2 linked regions of the Arabidopsis thaliana genome follow. The protein of the gene in region 1 interacts with the protein of each later gene in a pairwise test. Each region holds a gene or a part of one and is shown on either strand. Other genes may lie near its edges.

Evidence for each region.
Region 2: the proteins of ULT2 (region 1) and AT2G43220 interact in a two-hybrid assay, tested with the Arabidopsis thaliana proteins (one large-scale study listed by BioGRID).

The regions. Positions count from the first base shown.
Region 1 is NC_003071.7:8,965,004-8,969,225, reverse strand, and holds ULT2 (Developmental regulator, ULTRAPETALA), read left to right. Parts: upstream 1-1,982; 5' UTR 1,983-2,430; coding exon 2,431-2,632; intron 2,633-2,896; coding exon 2,897-3,381; 3' UTR 3,382-3,670; downstream 3,671-4,222. Other genes in the region: AT2G20830 (folic acid binding / transferase), read left to right, coding at 345-856; AT2G20820 (uncharacterized protein), read right to left, coding at 3,989-4,083, 4,171-4,204. UniProt on the Arabidopsis thaliana protein: Putative transcription factor that acts as a key negative regulator of cell accumulation in shoot and floral meristems. Negatively regulates the size of the WUSCHEL (WUS)-expressing organizing center in inflorescence meristems.
Region 2 is NC_003071.7:17,962,539-17,966,895, reverse strand, and holds AT2G43220 (Cysteine/Histidine-rich C1 domain family protein), read right to left. Parts: upstream 2,678-4,357; 5' UTR 2,557-2,677; coding exon 940-2,556; 3' UTR 685-939; downstream 1-684. Other genes in the region: AT2G43230 (Protein kinase superfamily protein), read right to left, coding at 1-126, 236-303, 389-421; AT2G43210 (Ubiquitin-like superfamily protein), read right to left, coding at 3,336-3,574, 3,665-3,907, 4,096-4,357.

The sequences.
Region 1 (4,222 bases):
TTGTAGCAATGCTCTGCTCTCTGCTGTTATCAAGATAAGAACAGAGCATTGTTTGTCTGCTGTACTTTGTGATAGGCAGAGTGATGTTCTGTTTTTACTATCTCATTATCTCTAGGCCATAGAATATGGAAGTCTTTGTAGCAATGATCTGCTCTCTGCTCTTATCAAGATAAGAACAGAGTATTGCTTGTATGGTGTAGTTGTTGTGTACGTTGTAATAGGCAAAGTGATGCCCTGTGTTTAAAATCTCATCTTCGTCTAGGCCATAGAACTTGGAAGTCTTTGTAGCAATCTCTATATTGATATGTGGACTGGACTGAGATATATGACCCACCTTGGTGCAGTTCCTACATATCTCTATGGAGCAGCAGAAAAGGAGCAGTGCACCCTGGATTCGATCAGAAGAAAGCTGGGGTACTTCAAGGCAAACAGGGAGGGACATGAATGGGCAGGTGGGTTTGACCTGGAGATGGTGCCACTGAAGCCAGACGCAGGGCCACAAGAGGTGAGCAAAGCCAAAGGGGTTGTAGCGGTTGGGGCGTGTGGGTGGGTAAGTAACTATAACGTGCCTGTCATGTCAAACGATCTCAAGGCAGTGAGGAGAATAGCGAGGAAGACGAGCGAGAGAGGAGGGGGCTTGGCTTCAGTGCAGACAATGGCGCTGGTGCACGGGGAAGGAGTCATAGAGGTTGCCTGTAACTTGTTGAATCCAAGCCAAGTGGGGGGAGATGAAGTACAGGGACTGATCGAGAGGCTTGGCAGAGAGGAAGGTCTGCTTGTGGGAAAAGGGTATTATACGGACTATACACCTGACCAGATCGTTGAAAGATATATGGACTTGCTCAACAATTCATAAATTTCAAAGTAAAAAAAGTAAAAACAGTATGATGTTGTCATTCTTAGAACGTATTATTACCGACATCGATCATTTATCTTCATTTTGTGTTTAGATGTGATATACATTGCCATGAGTGACAATTGAAATTAGCAAAGATTAAATAAAAAGTGAAATGATAAAATGATGGTACGTTCATTGAGAGGCCAAAACATCAGATCTCATCATTGGTGTTTTTCCTCAACAACTGTGAGAGATTTGTTTTGTGTAGCCTCGTCTTTTGCCGTGGTTCTTAAAGCTGTTGTTTTCTTAGCATTTTGCCTTGTTTTGCATATATCTATATGGCAATGCATGCAAGTCATTAACTAATGTATAGTGAACTATTGGTAGCATCGTGACCATGTGGTAATTAACAATCTTTGTCCTTCAAATTTATATATATGGAGGTTGTGGTCTATATGATTTGTTAAAGTGAAAAGACAACTGGTTTTCTATTAATTTGGTCGTAGGTGAAATTCGAGGGTCAAAAGTCTCTAAAAACAACGTGGATGAGGTGGAGTTTGGTGCGGCTCGTTATTGACTTGAGTTCTTCTTGGTCATTTTTTTGGGTTTGCAACAAGGGGAAGGAGGTTAAAAGAACATTTATCTTTTTCTGTTTTATCACTAATTATTGTGTTGTTTTATTTGATATAATCAATCAATAGGTTAAAAGAACAAGAATAAATTAAAAAATTCGTCAAAAACATCAAAACGAGAACTAATTTGAAACACAATTTAACTTCTAAACGACAACTAATTTGAAACGGAAGGAGTATACGTTACATTTAGACAAAAAAAATGTAATTTATGACATGCCTACACACATTGACGTAGACAATTAAAGGTTAGGTGTGTCCTTGTATATGTGTATACATGTACATACATATGTATGGGCACATTGGAGTTGGGCCGCAATGGAGAATAAGGACCAGATGCGACTATCATACACCTAACTCTTAAGAAAAAAAGCATTATTTGTGTACATAAATGGTAGACCCATGAAACCTGTAGAGCTCAAAAGTCACAAGTAAAAGAGAGAAAAGAAAGAAGAGAAGAGGTAATTACATGTGGGTTTAGAGAACAACTTTACTTAATCTCTTCTCTTTTATCATCAACCAACCATATATGGACAATTACAAGAACACATCTATGTATGAACGTTAACGTAGATAATATTATAAAATATTATTCTAAAAATTAAAAGATTCACAATTCCCATGCCTCACGACTTGTATTTTTCTTTGGCCACCTAATTTGCATCCATCATCTCTCTGTCTCTATAGAGAGTTTCTTTCAAATCCCCTAAAACCTAGAAAAACACCAAAGTCTCTCTCTCTTTTTGTTTTACTCCAAAAGCCTTTTACCTTTGAGATTTTTCTATATAATTGTCAGATCCTTCGTTACTACTGATGCTAGCTCCTTTAGGGCTTTTTCTCGTTTACTCATGTCAAATTACCTTCTTGTCCCTTGGTGTTTAGGGCTCTGATCCTATATAATAATACTTCATAGGAAGGAGAAGGAGCCCTTCGTCGTGGTTTACTTGGTCCCGATCGGAGATGGAGAGAGAATGTGGGTCGAAGGAGTTGTTCAGCAAAGAGGAGCTACAAGAAATAAGTGGAGTCCATGTGGGAGACGATTACGTCGAGGTCATGTGTGGCTGCACCAGCCACCGTTACGGAGACGCCGTTGCGAGGCTTAAGATATTTTCAGATGGAGAACTTCAAATCACCTGCCAATGCACTCCTGCTTGTCTCGAAGGTTCCTCTTCTTCTCTCTCACATCTTTCTATATGCATGTTCCATGTGAATGTGTATGGATTCATGATAGTGTCAAGAATGCAATGTAACTGTTCTTTGGCCTCGGTGAACTATGAGGCTGCTTGTATTTGCTAGATGTGATATGTTTCATGCAGTCTTTTAGAGTGTGGGATAACCTTACATTGTAATGTATCTCCATTTTATATCACAAGTTCGAGTTTCTTTCAAAGTGATCTGATTGACAGCTTTCATTCTATGATGGTAGACAAGTTGACGCCTGCTGCCTTCGAGAAGCATTCTGAGAGAGAAACCTCTAGAAACTGGAGGAACAATGTTTGGGTGTTCATTGAAGGAGACAAGGTTCCGCTTTCAAAGACAGTGTTGCTCAGATACTACAACAAAGCATTGAAGAACTCTAACGTATCGAAAGTCATTCATCGGGATGAGTTTGTTGGGTGCAGCACATGCGGGAAGGAGAGGAGGTTCAGATTGAGGAGCAGAGGGGAATGCCGGATGCACCATGATGCAATTGCTGAGCCTAATTGGAAGTGTTGCGATTACCCATACGACAAGATAACATGCGAGGAGGAGGAAGAAAGAGGGAGCAGGAAAGTGTTCAGAGGTTGCACTCGCTCACCGTCCTGCAAAGGCTGCACTTCTTGCGTCTGCTTCGGCTGCAAGCTCTGCCGTTTCTCTGATTGTAACTGCCAGACTTGCCTCGATTTCACCACCAATGCCAAACCCATTTGACTTCATTTCTCTAACTTATTTAATTCTTCTGCAAAAACTTGTAATGTATGCTCTGCATTTTCTTTAATCAGTAGCTTGTTACACCTGTTATGCGAGTGGAGAGACCAAGTAGGGATCACATACTGGAAAAAAAACCGACTTGGGGCTTGGAAAACTAACTTAGCACCACTACGAGGACATGAATCTAATCTAAATTCAACCATATAACCTCGGCAAATACACACAAGGCAGGAGATCGATAACAAGAAGCAAGCAGTGACTGTAATAGTATGCTGAATAAACTATGTCAAGAATAAAAGCATGAGACAAGAGCAGCTACAAACATTTGGATTAGCCAATATGTACTTGGAAGGTGGACGACATACATGGAGAAATACCTCCAACAAAAATTGGTATCCAAACCAGACAAATAGAATGGAAGGAAATAGCTCGAAAGCATATATCAACATACGTAGTGAGACAATGATTTGCTTAAATCCTGTCTGTTTCAAACATAGGATATTATGAAACACAAAACTGTCAAGAATTTATCCATTGCAGACATCATCAGATCTCAAAAGTGATGCAAATTATTTTCAAAATGAAACACAAGACCAGTCACAATCTGCTAAAAGGGAAAACAAAGTGCATGAGAATGAGAGGTCTCTCCATAAAAGGTCTTCCTGGTGACAATGAAACTCATTGTGTACTCTCCACAGGCGTCTGCAAAAAAAACTATGTATAAGGGAAGGAACCCGAAGCCTCTAGGCAATGGAAGAAGAGCAAGAGCTGAAGAGCAAGAGTAAGTACCTCTTTTTTTCCCCCAGTGGCGAGCTTGTATCCACTGTAGAAAAGTAAGCCC
Region 2 (4,357 bases), 9.0 Mb from region 1:
CTACGCATCTTCCCTCTCTTGCCTATATCAAGATCGTCTACAGCTCTCGGTTTATCCAATCGAACAAAGTTGCTTTGTGTACGATCATTCGCCTGCGTTTTCACCAAAACACATAAATGAGCTGTTCTAACATGTTGCAGGAAAACAGAGGACTCTGCCTTCAAATCAACAGGCTAATAACAACAATTGTCTATCATGATCAACACAAAGGCAAATTAGGTTTCTTTATAAATACATTTGTAGATAAGTATTTTCAAATTTTGTAAAAACATTAGAATTTGTTGCGCGTTGATCTTGATTGACCTAAGACCATTACGTGATCTCAAGACATGATTTAAATAAGATGACATTTTTAATGATCAAAGCTGTGTTTGCGTGTAATGCTTACCACTTGACCACGACGATGAAAATCACGATCCATCAGAAATCAGAATGCAATTTAGAAACAAACGATCAACGAGCAATAAACCAGAGAGACGAATCAAAAGGAAAAAATGTTTGTAGACAAATGAGAGGCAGAGACGAAAGGAGGTGATGAGCTCGTGGAGAAATTTAGGAATGAAAAAAATTTGGAATCCCAAATAACTACGGAAAAGAAAAGACAGAAAACACAAAAGATAAAAGAAAAAGCTAAGAAAAGAAAGAAAACGTCAAAAGGAAGCGACAGAGAGGCGTGTGATCAAGAATAGAACAAACATCCCAATTTTGGTGAATTATAATAAAAGGTGTGAAGAATAATTACCTTCAAAGTCTCTCTCTCTCTCTTTCTCTCTTTCTCATAAATAGTTTTATGAACTGAATGAGCAAACCAACAATAAATCCAAATATAGAAAACAAGTTTATCTGAAAATAATTGAAAAACATTACACAGCCTCCATCTGTAAAAACCCATATTCTTTTTATGTTTCCAAATCCTTCCTTTCGCCTTCCTTCAGGCATTCAGAATTTCGCATTCTGAAAACAAGCTTTTGAGCAATAGTAGTACTCAATATTTTTTCTAGTAACCTTGAAAAACCTAGGGAACCTACAACGAGAGCCACAATCAGTGCATTTTGGTCTAGAATCGTGATCGTTGAAACCCACTTCAAACTTATTCTCCCTGTTCTTCATTATTATTCCAGGTTTTATGTTCAAAAAGTCCCCGGTTACGCATTCAATATGGCACACGACCCCACAATCATCGCATGTATAGAACCATCTTTCAGGATTGGTTTCGGCTTCACAGATTTCACACCAATATTTACCTTCAGGCGCCTCCTCCCCAGAGCGCAAAACTAAATAATGTGTATCACACCTATGCTTTATGACTAATGGTAGAGTGGCGCATTTGTAATCCAAAGAATAATCACAATCAACACAACGCAGCACATTGAGTTTATTCTCACCGCAAGCTAAGCAAGTACCACGATCTATTGTGGTTAGAAATAACGTGTGAGGATGAAGTTTGGGGTGCTTGAAGAAAGAGAGAGACGCACACAACACATCGAGTACCACACCCTCTTCATCCTTGTAGCTAAAACCCCTTCCATCTCTATTGCAAGCATCACAACTGAAATTTTGTTCGCTAAAATCCTTCCCGAAGCGAAGATAAAATATACCTGTGGAAAGTCCATGTCGTTTCGTAAGAGGAAGATTCGCACACTCTTCGTGAAGAATAAACTTGCATTCCACGCACTTGTAGTGCTTCTCAGAAGAGACTGGACGGGCGCAAGCTTCACAATGCATGTCTTCAGCACCATCTATAAAAACATCCTCAATAAGGAATAAGTTATGTTTCTCGTGGGAGAAATGATAAATTACCCCTTCCTCGATCACTTCAAATGGCGCAACGTCTACTACTTCCTCAGGTATCCCTTCGAGTTCGGTCCCATCCCACACGTCTTTTCTAGTTGCACATTTTGAATGAACAAAAAAATCTGGACATTTGTTGCATGAATAGCCTCCGTACGTGGTGTTGATATCTTGACGACAGATTTCACATACCCAATTCCCACGTTTGAGAGGATATGAATGTGAAATGCGATGATCATGACGATTGATGTTGATGACGTGTGGTAGATCAATACAATCATAATGAAACATGACAGAGCATGGTAGGCATACATAAGGGTTCCGTTCACCATGCGTACCACAAGCATTGCAAGTGAAGGATACTTCCCTTCCCATGAGGGTGAGTGCATGCTCGTGGCACTTTGGATGATCCACTTTGTGGGGCGGGGGCCTGTTTCCGCATTCCATATCTATGCTGAAATTGCATAACTTACAATGGTAAACGAAGTTGGAGAGTTTCCGTTGACAGAGGCTGCACTTCTCGTCAGAGTAACTAGGTGGCCCTTGGAGGAGAACCTCTAGGGGATGGTTCGGGTGACAAGGGTGGTTAATATTCTTCGTTGACCTTGGCACGCAATAGGGATGCCATTTTATATTGCATCTGAAGCATCCATAAAAAACTTCAAAGAAGGGTATAGCACTCCTATGGCACTCTTGGCAAGTGAACATACGATATTTTTCATATAAAGGATGTTCGTGCCAAAAGAGGTCCAGCGTCTTAGCCATGGGCAATGTTAAGAATGGTTGTGGATACGATGAATGAATAAGGATCAGGGAACTTTAAGAAAATTGAAAAGGTTTAACTTCAATTCCTAATTGATCTCTAAATCCTTATATTGTTGACCCGTATCACTACCCACGATCTCCGATATAAATCACTCAAGTTGATCATCGTTAGTTGTACGCAACTAATAGAACTGGTTTAGTCTTTTCTTAAGGCTCAATTTGGGGGGTCCAAGTGTTTATTATATGTCAAAAAAATTATTTAGTTAGTCCGACTAATCTTTCACCGGATTATTAAAATGCGTACTCATCGTTGACTATAGAAATATATATTAAAAAATTGTCTGGTTGATCACATATATATGTTTTGTTATCCGAGTTGATAATATTTTGGAAGGTGTGAGGATGAGCACAAGGGAAACCGCTAGGAGAACAAGAAGCTGTCAGTGAACGCCTTTTCACAGTTCAATGAAGTCTTCACTTGCATAGAAAAGAATATACAGATTCTTATATTTAAGCAACCATTTAACTCTAATATTTTTGTTATGATTGGAACCGAAGTTAATCAAACGACACTAATTAATTTCTAGAACCGAATTTAATCAAACAGAAATTGCTAGTTTTTTTAGATTTAAATTTAATACGAGCAACCGAAAAAACGGAAACGCATCAGGATACATTTTGCAGCTGGTCTCTTAAATGGTTCATAAAGAGTCAAGTATAAAAAGTAAACACCCGAGCTGTTTCTGTATCTATCCACACAGATTTCAACTTCTCTTATTTCATCGTCTATCATTACTGTCTCCACCGCTTCCACCACCGTACTGTGTGGAGTTTCCGTTCCAAAAAGCGTTTCCATCACCAAACGGAGCCTCATCTTCATTGTGATTCAACGTATGGATGTTACTTCCAATCCGAGAAGTGGTTGGTCTCCTATTCCTAACGTTGCTCCTACCTTCTGATGGATCTTGAAAGGACGTCCCTACTTGCCCCAGATTGTTTCTCACCTCCGTATTTGGTCCTATAGATAGAAAAAGAGAGAATCAGATTAGCAATTACACGACTTTCTGCATTAGAATGGATTTTATAAACTCATCATATTCCCGCATACTTGTTTGACGTTCTGGAACAGAGCTTGATGCGTTGGCAGTACCACCGCCAAAATATGAAAACGGGTTTGCATAAGACAGTACTCTTCTAACATAAGCAAAGTAACCGCCACTATTAGGGTCTGTGTTGTTGTTAGACTCCGAGTAAGATGTTCCTCTTTGATAGACGGTTGCTCTTTTTCGCGGAACTACTACAAGTGCTTGTCTATCGAACAATCTCAACTCGGATAGAGACTTATCCAGATCTGCAGAGATTAAGAGTAATGGAGTTATGTATCTACTACACTAGTCCAAACTGACCAGAAAAAAAAAAAAAAAAAACCTAAATGGCAGAAAACATCATCTTCGATCAAGATGAAGCTGGTTTTAAGGTAAAATGTTCTTTACCAAATAAAAATAAAAATCTATTGGATGCATTGTAGATTTTACGTACCTTGGTCAGTATACACCTTACGTGGGTAAGGAACCGCAAGATCATAAGCACCCAGTCCGATTGTTTGATTACTGTTCACATAATCCTTGACCATTCTCAATATACTTGTCACAGAAAACTTCTCCTGAAGGCTACTACCATCAGGTAATCGAATGTTTAAATGAACGTCAGATGCTTTTTTGGATTTTTCTCCATCCTCTTCCTCTCCTCCTTCATCCTTTGGCTTCATGGTCTCTTTTGTATCGACAGATTTTGTTAGATT